Mus musculus: one gene and its partner. Each later gene encodes a partner of the first gene's protein in a complex. Links are inferred from orthologs where the notes say so. Each region holds a gene or a part of one and is shown in the gene's direction. Other genes may lie near its edges. The genes, in order: Itga2b and Itgb3.

Region 1 (4,345 bases):
GCGAGGAAGGGAAGAGTTAGGAGTGCTTCAGAAGAGGGGAGAGTGGTAAAGTAGGATAAGGCAGTGGTTAATTCATGGAAATAAAGATGGAGGGGACATGGCTTCATGGTAGAGCACTTGTCCTGCATTCGAAAGGCTATCCCTAGCACTGCAGAAAAGGAGGGGAAAAAAGAAAAGACTTAAAGGAGGGTGTGGCTATAGTCCTACGACCCTTTGCCTTGGGGCAAAAGGCAAGCAAGACCATCAGGGCATGCGTGGTGCTCTTCTGCTCTCTGCCCCCTACCCCCATAGAGAAGGATCTTTTTTTTTAAAGACTTATTTATTTATTATATGTAAATACACTGTAGCTGTCTTCATACACACCAGAAGAGGGTGTCAGATCTCATTATGGATGGTTGTGAGCCACCATGTGGTTGCTGGGATTTGAACTCAGGACCTTCGGAAGAATAGTCAGTGCCCTTAACCACTGAGCCATCATCTCTCCAGCCCGAGAAGAATATTTCTACGCAGAATCTGACCCTCCTCACTTTGTTTACTCCTTCCATCCTTTAGGAAGACTTCAGATTCAGCCTTTCAGCAGCACTACATGCTGGGCTGTGGGCTAGGCCCTAGGACAGCAGAAAGAACCCTTGCTCTCAAAGGACTCGGGTACTCAACCCAGTAAAAAGTGCCATCAGGTACCATGCCCATGTGTGTGTATGCCATGGTGCCATCCTGAGGACTCACGAGGTTTCTCCTAGTCAGTGACTCCGTCCACAAACAGTTCTGGAAGGTTCTATTCTAGCTATCTTTCAATCTATTTTATTTATGTAGATACTGTCAACCAAAAAGGAGCAAAGCTGTTCACTTGAACAGCTGGTGCTCAACCTCGAGGACTGTGAACGCCGCACCTCAGAATGATGTCCTTTTAGCTCCATCTCCCCCCACTTAGGCCAAGACCCATTCATCACCCCTCTGCCCAGTATTGAAGGCTCCAGTGTAACCACACTAAGACTTGGTTCAAGATGGAGACGTGAGGAAAGTGATGGTCAAATGCAACCGGCTGAGGCTGCCCAAAGGCTCATGGGGGAGGAAGTGGGTAAATGTCCTACTCAAAATGATGACAGCCTCTGGTCTTATCAGGGGAGAACAGCTTGCTTACTCCTTCCTCTCCCCTTGGCCACATCACAGCATTCAAGAGCAGGATGGTCAGCTGCATGGGGGAGGTAAGAGCTGTACAACTGTGGGCCATGGCAAAGTGAGCCAGGCAGCGAATTCATGGTTATACTTTCCCAGGCAGAAAGGGATGGTGGCTGGACTTTCACAGTGACAGAGGAAGAGAAAGAGAAAGGGGATTGCCGGGCTTGTGGCTGAGAAACAGAGACAACAGGACATGGAGGTGAGCTTTCCTGGAGAGGAAGGGGAAGCAGTGACTTCCAGCCATCAGCATCCATCCCCGGGGTGGGCCCTCCCCCGTCCTAGTCGACGTCTAGAGGCTATTGCCCTCTGCCATGCCTGCTGCTCAGCCATGAGCTCCAGTCTGATAAGCTGAAACTTCCGGTGGTGGGAACTTCAGGGAAAGGGAAAGAGCTGGCCCATTCCTGTTTAGGACGTTTGGGAAGAAGGAAGATGGCCAGAGCCTCCTGCGCATGGCATTCCCTGTGGCTTCTGCAGTGGACACCACTGTTCTTGGGTCCTAGTGCTGTTCCTCCAGTCTGGGCCTTGAACCTGGACTCTGAGAAGTTCTCCGTCTATGCAGGTCCCAATGGCAGCCACTTTGGCTTCTCAGTGGACTTTCATAAGGACAAACATGGAAGGTGAGCGCTAAAGGACATATGGGCGTTAAGAGAGGTCTGCACCCTCGAATTGCTCCTGTGGACTCTCTCAGTACCTAGATGAGCAAGGTCAGTTCTCCGGTCTGAGTGGAGCTCCTGTCAATGGAGGACCGTTTCCAGGGTGGGTACTGGGGAGAGATAGCAATGGGGAGATGAGCACAAAAGTTTAAAGCTGATGTCTTCCTTTTTCCTTTTCCCCAAGTGTCAGTGATGTGACCGGCTTTACCTCCCTCCCCTCACCCTAAACTGACTGGCAAAGCTACAAGTACCTACCTGGTACACCTTGCTTTCCTCCGTTCCATGCCTCACCTCCTTCCAAATTACAGATGTTTGAAAAGAAGTATTAGATTACTAACAGTCAGTATGGATCAGGCTTTGAGGTCAGACTCCTGGCTCATCTACATAGCTGTGTTTATCCTGAGTGACTTATTGAGATGGACACTGGATTGCCCAGGACTGGGGAATAGTAATTATTCTCAAAGACAGCTGCAAGAAATTATTTCTTCTGCCTGAGAGAGCCACTTCATCAAAAATCAGGTCCCCTTCCCAAGATGGCTTGCACGCAGAGACTATTCGTGATGGGGAAGAACCCAGGGTTGCCTCAATTCTAATGATTCTAAAGGGCACTTCTCTAGCTGAGTGTGGTAACATGTGCTTGCAAACCCAGGACTTGGAAGCTGAGGCAGGAGAACTACCACAAGTTAAATAGCCAGGGCCACATAACAAGACTCCATCAGAATAAATACATAGAATTCCTGATGGGTGTCATGACAGACACCTTTAACCAATCTCCTTTACTGGAAAGCAGAGTTAGGCAGAGCCAGCCTGCTAATCCAAATAGTGAGTTTCCTCCGGGACAGCCAGAGCTACATAGAGAGAGCCTATCTCAAAACAAATAGACAAAACCAACCAAACGAAACCCTCCTGGCATCAGAGCTCCTGAGTGCCTCTGTTCAACTCCTTTCTTTTCTTCCGGTCTCCTGCTTCATTCCCCAAGGTCTGGTCACATGGGCACGATTTAATAAGCATCCTGTGTGTTTATTAACGCACACGTTTACAAAAGCATGTTGCCGGATCATACTAAATACCTCTCATACAATTATTGCATTTACTCTTCCAACAGCAACATTGGTTGTCATTACCTCCATTTTACATATGGCAGGCCTGATTTAAACAGAGATCTGCTAGGCTCCTCAACCCTGTCAGTACCGTACATCCCAGTGAGCTCTCCCCGGCCTTCCCCCTTTCAACCAGGTCTAGCTAAGGGATCTCTCTAGAAGTTTGACAGGCAGACATTTTGTCTGGTTCTTGTTGGGAGGGAGTGAGGGTGAGGGAAATCGGTGTACAAAGGAAGCATAACAGGTCTTTTCAGTAAGGATTATTAAAGCCTTCCCATCCAAACCAAACCAACTGGTTTAGTCTCAGGTTAATTTCCTAAGAATCCACTTTCAGCTAAAATGAAGAGGTTGTCCTCAAAGGACTATCTGTGAGGAAAGGTGGTCCAGTTTTTCCTATGCCACGCCTCCTTCCAGGTACTGCTGGGGCAGTGGGCACCGGGCAGGATAGAAAGGCCATAACCTGTGCTCATCCAGCTTTCCTACACAGCGTGTCCATCGTGGTGGGCGCCCCCAGGGCCCTAAACGCAAGTCAAGAGGAGACTGGAGCCGTATTCCTGTGCCCCTGGAAGGCCAATGGTGGCAAGTGCAACCCGTTGCTCTTCGACCTCAGTGAGTCTCAAGAATGAAGGGGAAAGGGGGTCCCCAGGTGGAAATGGATGGCCGGGCTCCAGAGCTCCACCTTTACTTGTGCCCTCCAGGGGATGAGACACGAAACCTAGGCTTCCAAATTTTCCAAACCTTCAAGACCGGGCAAGGACTTGGGGCGTCGGTCGTCAGCTGGAATGACGTCATTGTGGTGGGTACTGTGGACAAGTCAAAGGGAGCAAATCCAGGGTAGGGACACGTTGGGGGAAGCCCGAATAAGCCCCCTTCCCTACTCTCCTGTGGGTCTGCTCTAGGCCTGTGCCCCCTGGCAGCACTGGAATGTCCTGGAAAAGCGCGATGAGGCAGAGAAGACTCCGGTAGGAGGCTGCTTCTTGGCTCAGCTCCAAAGCGGGGGCCGCGCAGAGTACTCGCCCTGTCGCGCCAACACCATGAGCTCCGTTTACGCAGAGAGTTTTCGTAAGCTCTGGTTTGCCATTCGCTCCGCCCACTGATCGCTGCCAACCCCGCCCCACCAAGGACCTCGGGCCCCGGGGGCCCGCCCCTCCGCTACACCACGCCCCTGGGCCCCGCCTCCATGTCCTCCGGGCTCTGCATAGTTCCCCCTGCCCACGCGGGGCTCTTGGCTTAAGCGCACATTCGGGGGACCTCCCCTTGGCTGATCCCCGCTTGCCTCTTGTAGGCGGAGACAAGCGATACTGTGAAGCAGGCTTCAGCTTGGCGGTGACCCAGGCAAGTCACAGGCAAAAGCAAACAAGAGAGCTCAGCTTGATGGTTGAGACAGGGGGAGGGCGAGTTTGAGGTCAGCCT
Region 2 (3,806 bases), about 2.2 Mb from region 1:
TCAATAAATAGAGGAACCACCTGTAAATGATCAAAGGCAGGACACTTGACTGGAGATCTCATGAGCTCCCTCACAAGGTCTAGGTTTCCACGGACATAGTCATGACTCGTACTGTTTCCTGGTCTCTCCACTTCCTTGGTATTAACCACATCCAAGCTGAGCAATGTCAGACAATGGGTAAGTCAGCAAACTTTGACACTAGTCTACCCAGAGCACTGAGCTGGAGCTGTGAGAGATGAAACAGCTATAAGGACCTACCTACTCTTAGGAGGTTTAGATGAAGAGAGAGGATTTATCCCTACACAGTATTAATAGCATGGAACTCATGATGTACACTAATTGGGTGGGTGACACAGTCAAGGGCTATTGGCAGTTGAAGGAGGAAAGCTCTTAGAAGCTGGGGTGGTCAAGGAGGGCTTCCTGGAGGAGGTGAGCTTAGGCTAAGGAAGGAGGAGGATTACCAAGATGACAGGTAACAGGAGAAATGAGCCAGGTCAGTGCTGAGGAGAAGAGGCAGGCGTAGGGGTGAGTGACATTTGGACAGTGAGGCTGAGATCATGTGGCAGGTGACCAGTAGAGCGAGGTTAGGGCATTTGCCCGTAATTCCACAACAGTGGGGCCCAGCCCATGGAGATGTTTTGAGCCTGAGCGGGAAGGAAGGTGCTTGGTTTTGGAGCCACCAGCCCAGGGTTCATAGCCGAGCTTCTGGGACTTTTTACCCTTTCACTCAGGCACTGCGCCATTTTCTGTTGCTAATGATACAATAGCACAGACACAGTAAGTTGGAAAAGAGCTTTCGTTTTGTTTTTAGAACTTGTGAATTTGAGGGACAGCATCTGGTGATGATCACGGCTGGCTGAGTCCCAAGACTCAGGCGGTCCTGAGGCAGGAGGTCAGGGAGCATGCGTGAGTCCGGAGGACAGGGAGCATGCGTGTGGGTTTCTGTCTTCATTGGTTTTCTTTTGTTAAGCTAGTGAGATTCAACTCTGGGGCCTTCTAATTCTCCTTACTTCCCAAAGACTTTACCCTAAATACCTTAGCGGTGTGTGTGTGTGTGTGTGTGTGTGTGTGTGTGTCCACTGTCTCAGCATCTCACAGGGGGAAATCAGTTTCAGCTCACGAAACCTGAGGGGTTTGCTGAAGCCACACCCAAACCATAACACTCACTTTGATTAGTGGGTAAAATCAAAGTTTCACATTGCTTTGGTCATACCCCAAATAAGACAGCCTCAAAGGCGTAGAATCCAGGGATGCCTGTGAGACGTGTCTATTAACCTTCACCTTTTCCCCGTTTTCAGGACTACCCATCTCTGGGGCTGATGACTGAGAAACTATCCCAGAAAAACATTAACTTGATCTTTGCAGTGACTGAAAATGTCGTCAGCCTTTACCAGGTAATTAGGGCTCTGGGCTTCTCTCTTGTCACCATAGGTGGGACCTGACCCCGGTGGCCAGCTCCTGCTTTCACTAGCCAGGGACCCAACCAGGAAAAAAATCCTTTTAAACTCATTCTCCAGGCTGCTTACATTCCTCCCTGTAGCCTTTTCCCTTCAACCTCTCACCTATAAGGAAACCTGTGGTGGTTTGCAATGGCGGCGGAGGTGACTCAGTGGGGGGAGGGGTAGAAAAAGGTTTTTGTTTTTTAAATAATGTTTCTTAGATATGAAAATATGCTAGATCTGTTTTGGTAGTAACAAGTAAGATACTTCACAGTGCCCTCCAAACTTAATTTTAAGACTGCCAGTTGGGCGGTAGTGGTGCATGTCATTAATCCCAGCACTTGGGAGGCAGAGGCAGAGGCAGAGGCAGGCAGATCTCTTGAGTTTGAGGCTTCCTGGTCTACAGAGCAAGTTCCAGGACAGCCAGGGTTGCACAGTGCAACCTTGTCTCCCAAAAACAAAGAAAGAAAGAAACAAACAAACAACCGCTGCCAGTCTGACGAAGGAGGACCTGAGGAGGAGACCACTTTCTTCAGGACGCTGTGGACATCTTTGTCTTCCTTTCTAGAATTATAGTGAGCTCATTCCTGGGACCACAGTGGGAGTCCTGTCTGATGACTCAAGCAACGTCCTCCAGCTCATTGTTGATGCTTACGGGGTAAGAATGCTGGCCCAGGAGGCCCTGGTGCGTCTGCTGGACGAAGCTTACTCATCAGCGCTTTTTAAAAAAAGAAGTACAAGAGGGATGTTGTGGTCTACGGCAGAAAACAGACACATAAATTTCCTTCAGGAAGGAAATTATATCAAAAAGCCGTGCTTGGACCTGTGGGTGGGAGAATATTAGATACAAACAATATAATAGGGGGACTGAACATAATAGGACCTTAAAGGTGACAAGAGGCTTCCCTGTAGAGCCTGAAGAGGAGCTTCATTAAGAGAGTGAGAGGTTCAGAGAAGGAGAGAGAGAGAGAGAAAGGAGAGAGAGAGAGAAAGAGAGAGAGAGAGGAAGACAGAGATACAGGACAAACTTCCATGATAGCAGTGGGAGGGGAGGCCCAAGGAGCCTCTCCAATGAGCAACCTTTATCTCCAAACCCAATCTTCTTGCTGAGTCTAAGACCAATCCCTAGAACAAAGGGAGGCTCCAGCTCTGTATACGCTTTAGGAGTGGCGGGAAGTTTCCAATCATATGGTTTGGTTGAACATCACACACAGAGAAGCCAGGAGGTACTATATACATTGAGAACAGTCAAGTCAGAGCACAAATTGTCTTGGAACTCTCTGTCCCAAAGACAGCTGCAGGGACTCAGGCTGTGGGGTCACTCCTAAAGGTGCAGGCCCATGTTCTAACAGAGCTCGGATTTGGGAGCCATCTGCCATTCTCCTGTATGGTCTTACTGCGTTTCCTTTATGCTCCCAGAGGTAGATGGTGGCCAGCCTTGGGAGTAATGAATGGCACCTTCAGAAATGGGCCAGAAAGGAAGGCCAGGGAGGAACAGGAACGGCATGTGGGGAGCTTAGAGGAGGAGGAGGCTGCAAATGGGGATTCGATGCCCAAGAATGCAGCTGTAGGGCAGAGTGAGGGAAAGCCAGGTCTCAGCCACATACAAAAGAGGTGACCGAGCATAGAGCCTCCATGGCAGCAACTGCCAGGTAAACCTCAGGGCAAGTCCAAGGCCACTGGCTTGGCTTTGTGTGGATGGACTTGGCTTTTGTCAGTGCCCTAACCTTCCTTTACCCTCTTCTGCTCAGAAAATCCGCTCTAAAGTGGAGCTGGAAGTACGTGACCTGCCGGAAGAACTGTCACTGTCCTTCAATGCCACCTGCCTCAACAACGAGGTTATCCCGGGCCTCAAGTCTTGTGTGGGCCTCAAGATTGGAGACACGGTGAGGTGGGCTAGGGGAGGGACTGATGCTGAGACTCTGACCATGGGCCCCGAGATCTGTGTGCATCCTGACCCTTTCCAGAATTAGGTGTTAGGGTAGTAGGGTTGTCAATCTTTGCCCGTGAAGCTTCGGATGCTTAAGGTTTCTAGAGCTGCCAAGGAAACCTATTATTTATTTTTTCTTAAAATGTCTATTTTGGTTTTCTGTGTTTGCACGTCTGATTGAAAGTGAAAATATCTCTTAACCTATCTCATCACCCAGGGTAATGCTTTTCTTTTCTCTGCCACATAAAATGGGGGCAGTATAGCATCTGTGGACTCTTGCTGAGCACTGGCTGTACCAGGTTTTATTCTGGCTGATGAAAATCCATCAGCAAGTGGAACAGGCAAAAGTTCCTGCCCTGTTGAGACTTAAGAGTGTAAATATTCATCTTGCCCCTCCACCCCCCCCCCACAGCTTTCTTGATTATTACTGGGTTTTT

Evidence for each region.
Region 2: the proteins of Itga2b (region 1) and Itgb3 are in contact, whole or in part, in a cryo-EM structure (PDB 8GCE), measured with the Homo sapiens proteins. The link is inferred for Mus musculus from reciprocal best matches to the Homo sapiens genes ITGA2B and ITGB3. Residues at the interface, in NP_000410.2 of Homo sapiens: Gln49, Phe52, Arg72, Trp141, His143, Asn145, Glu152, Ala153, Glu154, Lys155, Pro157, Arg184, Phe191, Tyr197, Glu199, Phe202, Pro217, Tyr221, Phe222, Phe262, Asp263, Tyr265, Tyr268, Thr290, Trp293, Thr294, Gln315, Met316, Ala317, Tyr319; in NP_000203.2 of Homo sapiens: Ser188, Pro189, Tyr190, Tyr192, Ile193, Ser194, Pro195, Pro196, Tyr204, Asp205, Met206, Arg242, Asp243, Pro245, Lys279, His281, Ile282, Ala283, Leu284, Asp285, Arg287, Leu288, Ala289, Gly290, Val292, Gln293, Pro294, Asn295, Asp314, Tyr315.

The regions. Positions count from the first base shown.
Region 1 is NC_000077.6:102,466,976-102,471,320, reverse strand, and holds the start of Itga2b (integrin alpha-IIb precursor), read left to right. Parts: upstream 1-1,437; 5' UTR 1,438-1,608; coding exon 1,609-1,796; intron 1,797-3,419; coding exon 3,420-3,541; intron 3,542-3,630; coding exon 3,631-3,728; intron 3,729-3,831; coding exon 3,832-3,994; intron 3,995-4,217; coding exon 4,218-4,267; intron 4,268-4,345. UniProt on the Homo sapiens protein: Integrin alpha-IIb/beta-3 is a receptor for fibronectin, fibrinogen, plasminogen, prothrombin, thrombospondin and vitronectin. It recognizes the sequence R-G-D in a wide array of ligands.
Region 2 is NC_000077.6:104,638,994-104,642,799, forward strand, and holds part of Itgb3 (integrin beta-3 precursor), read left to right. Parts: intron 1-1,298; coding exon 1,299-1,394; intron 1,395-2,007; coding exon 2,008-2,097; intron 2,098-3,190; coding exon 3,191-3,325; intron 3,326-3,806. UniProt on the Homo sapiens protein: Integrin alpha-V/beta-3 (ITGAV:ITGB3) is a receptor for cytotactin, fibronectin, laminin, matrix metalloproteinase-2, osteopontin, osteomodulin, prothrombin, thrombospondin, vitronectin and von Willebrand factor.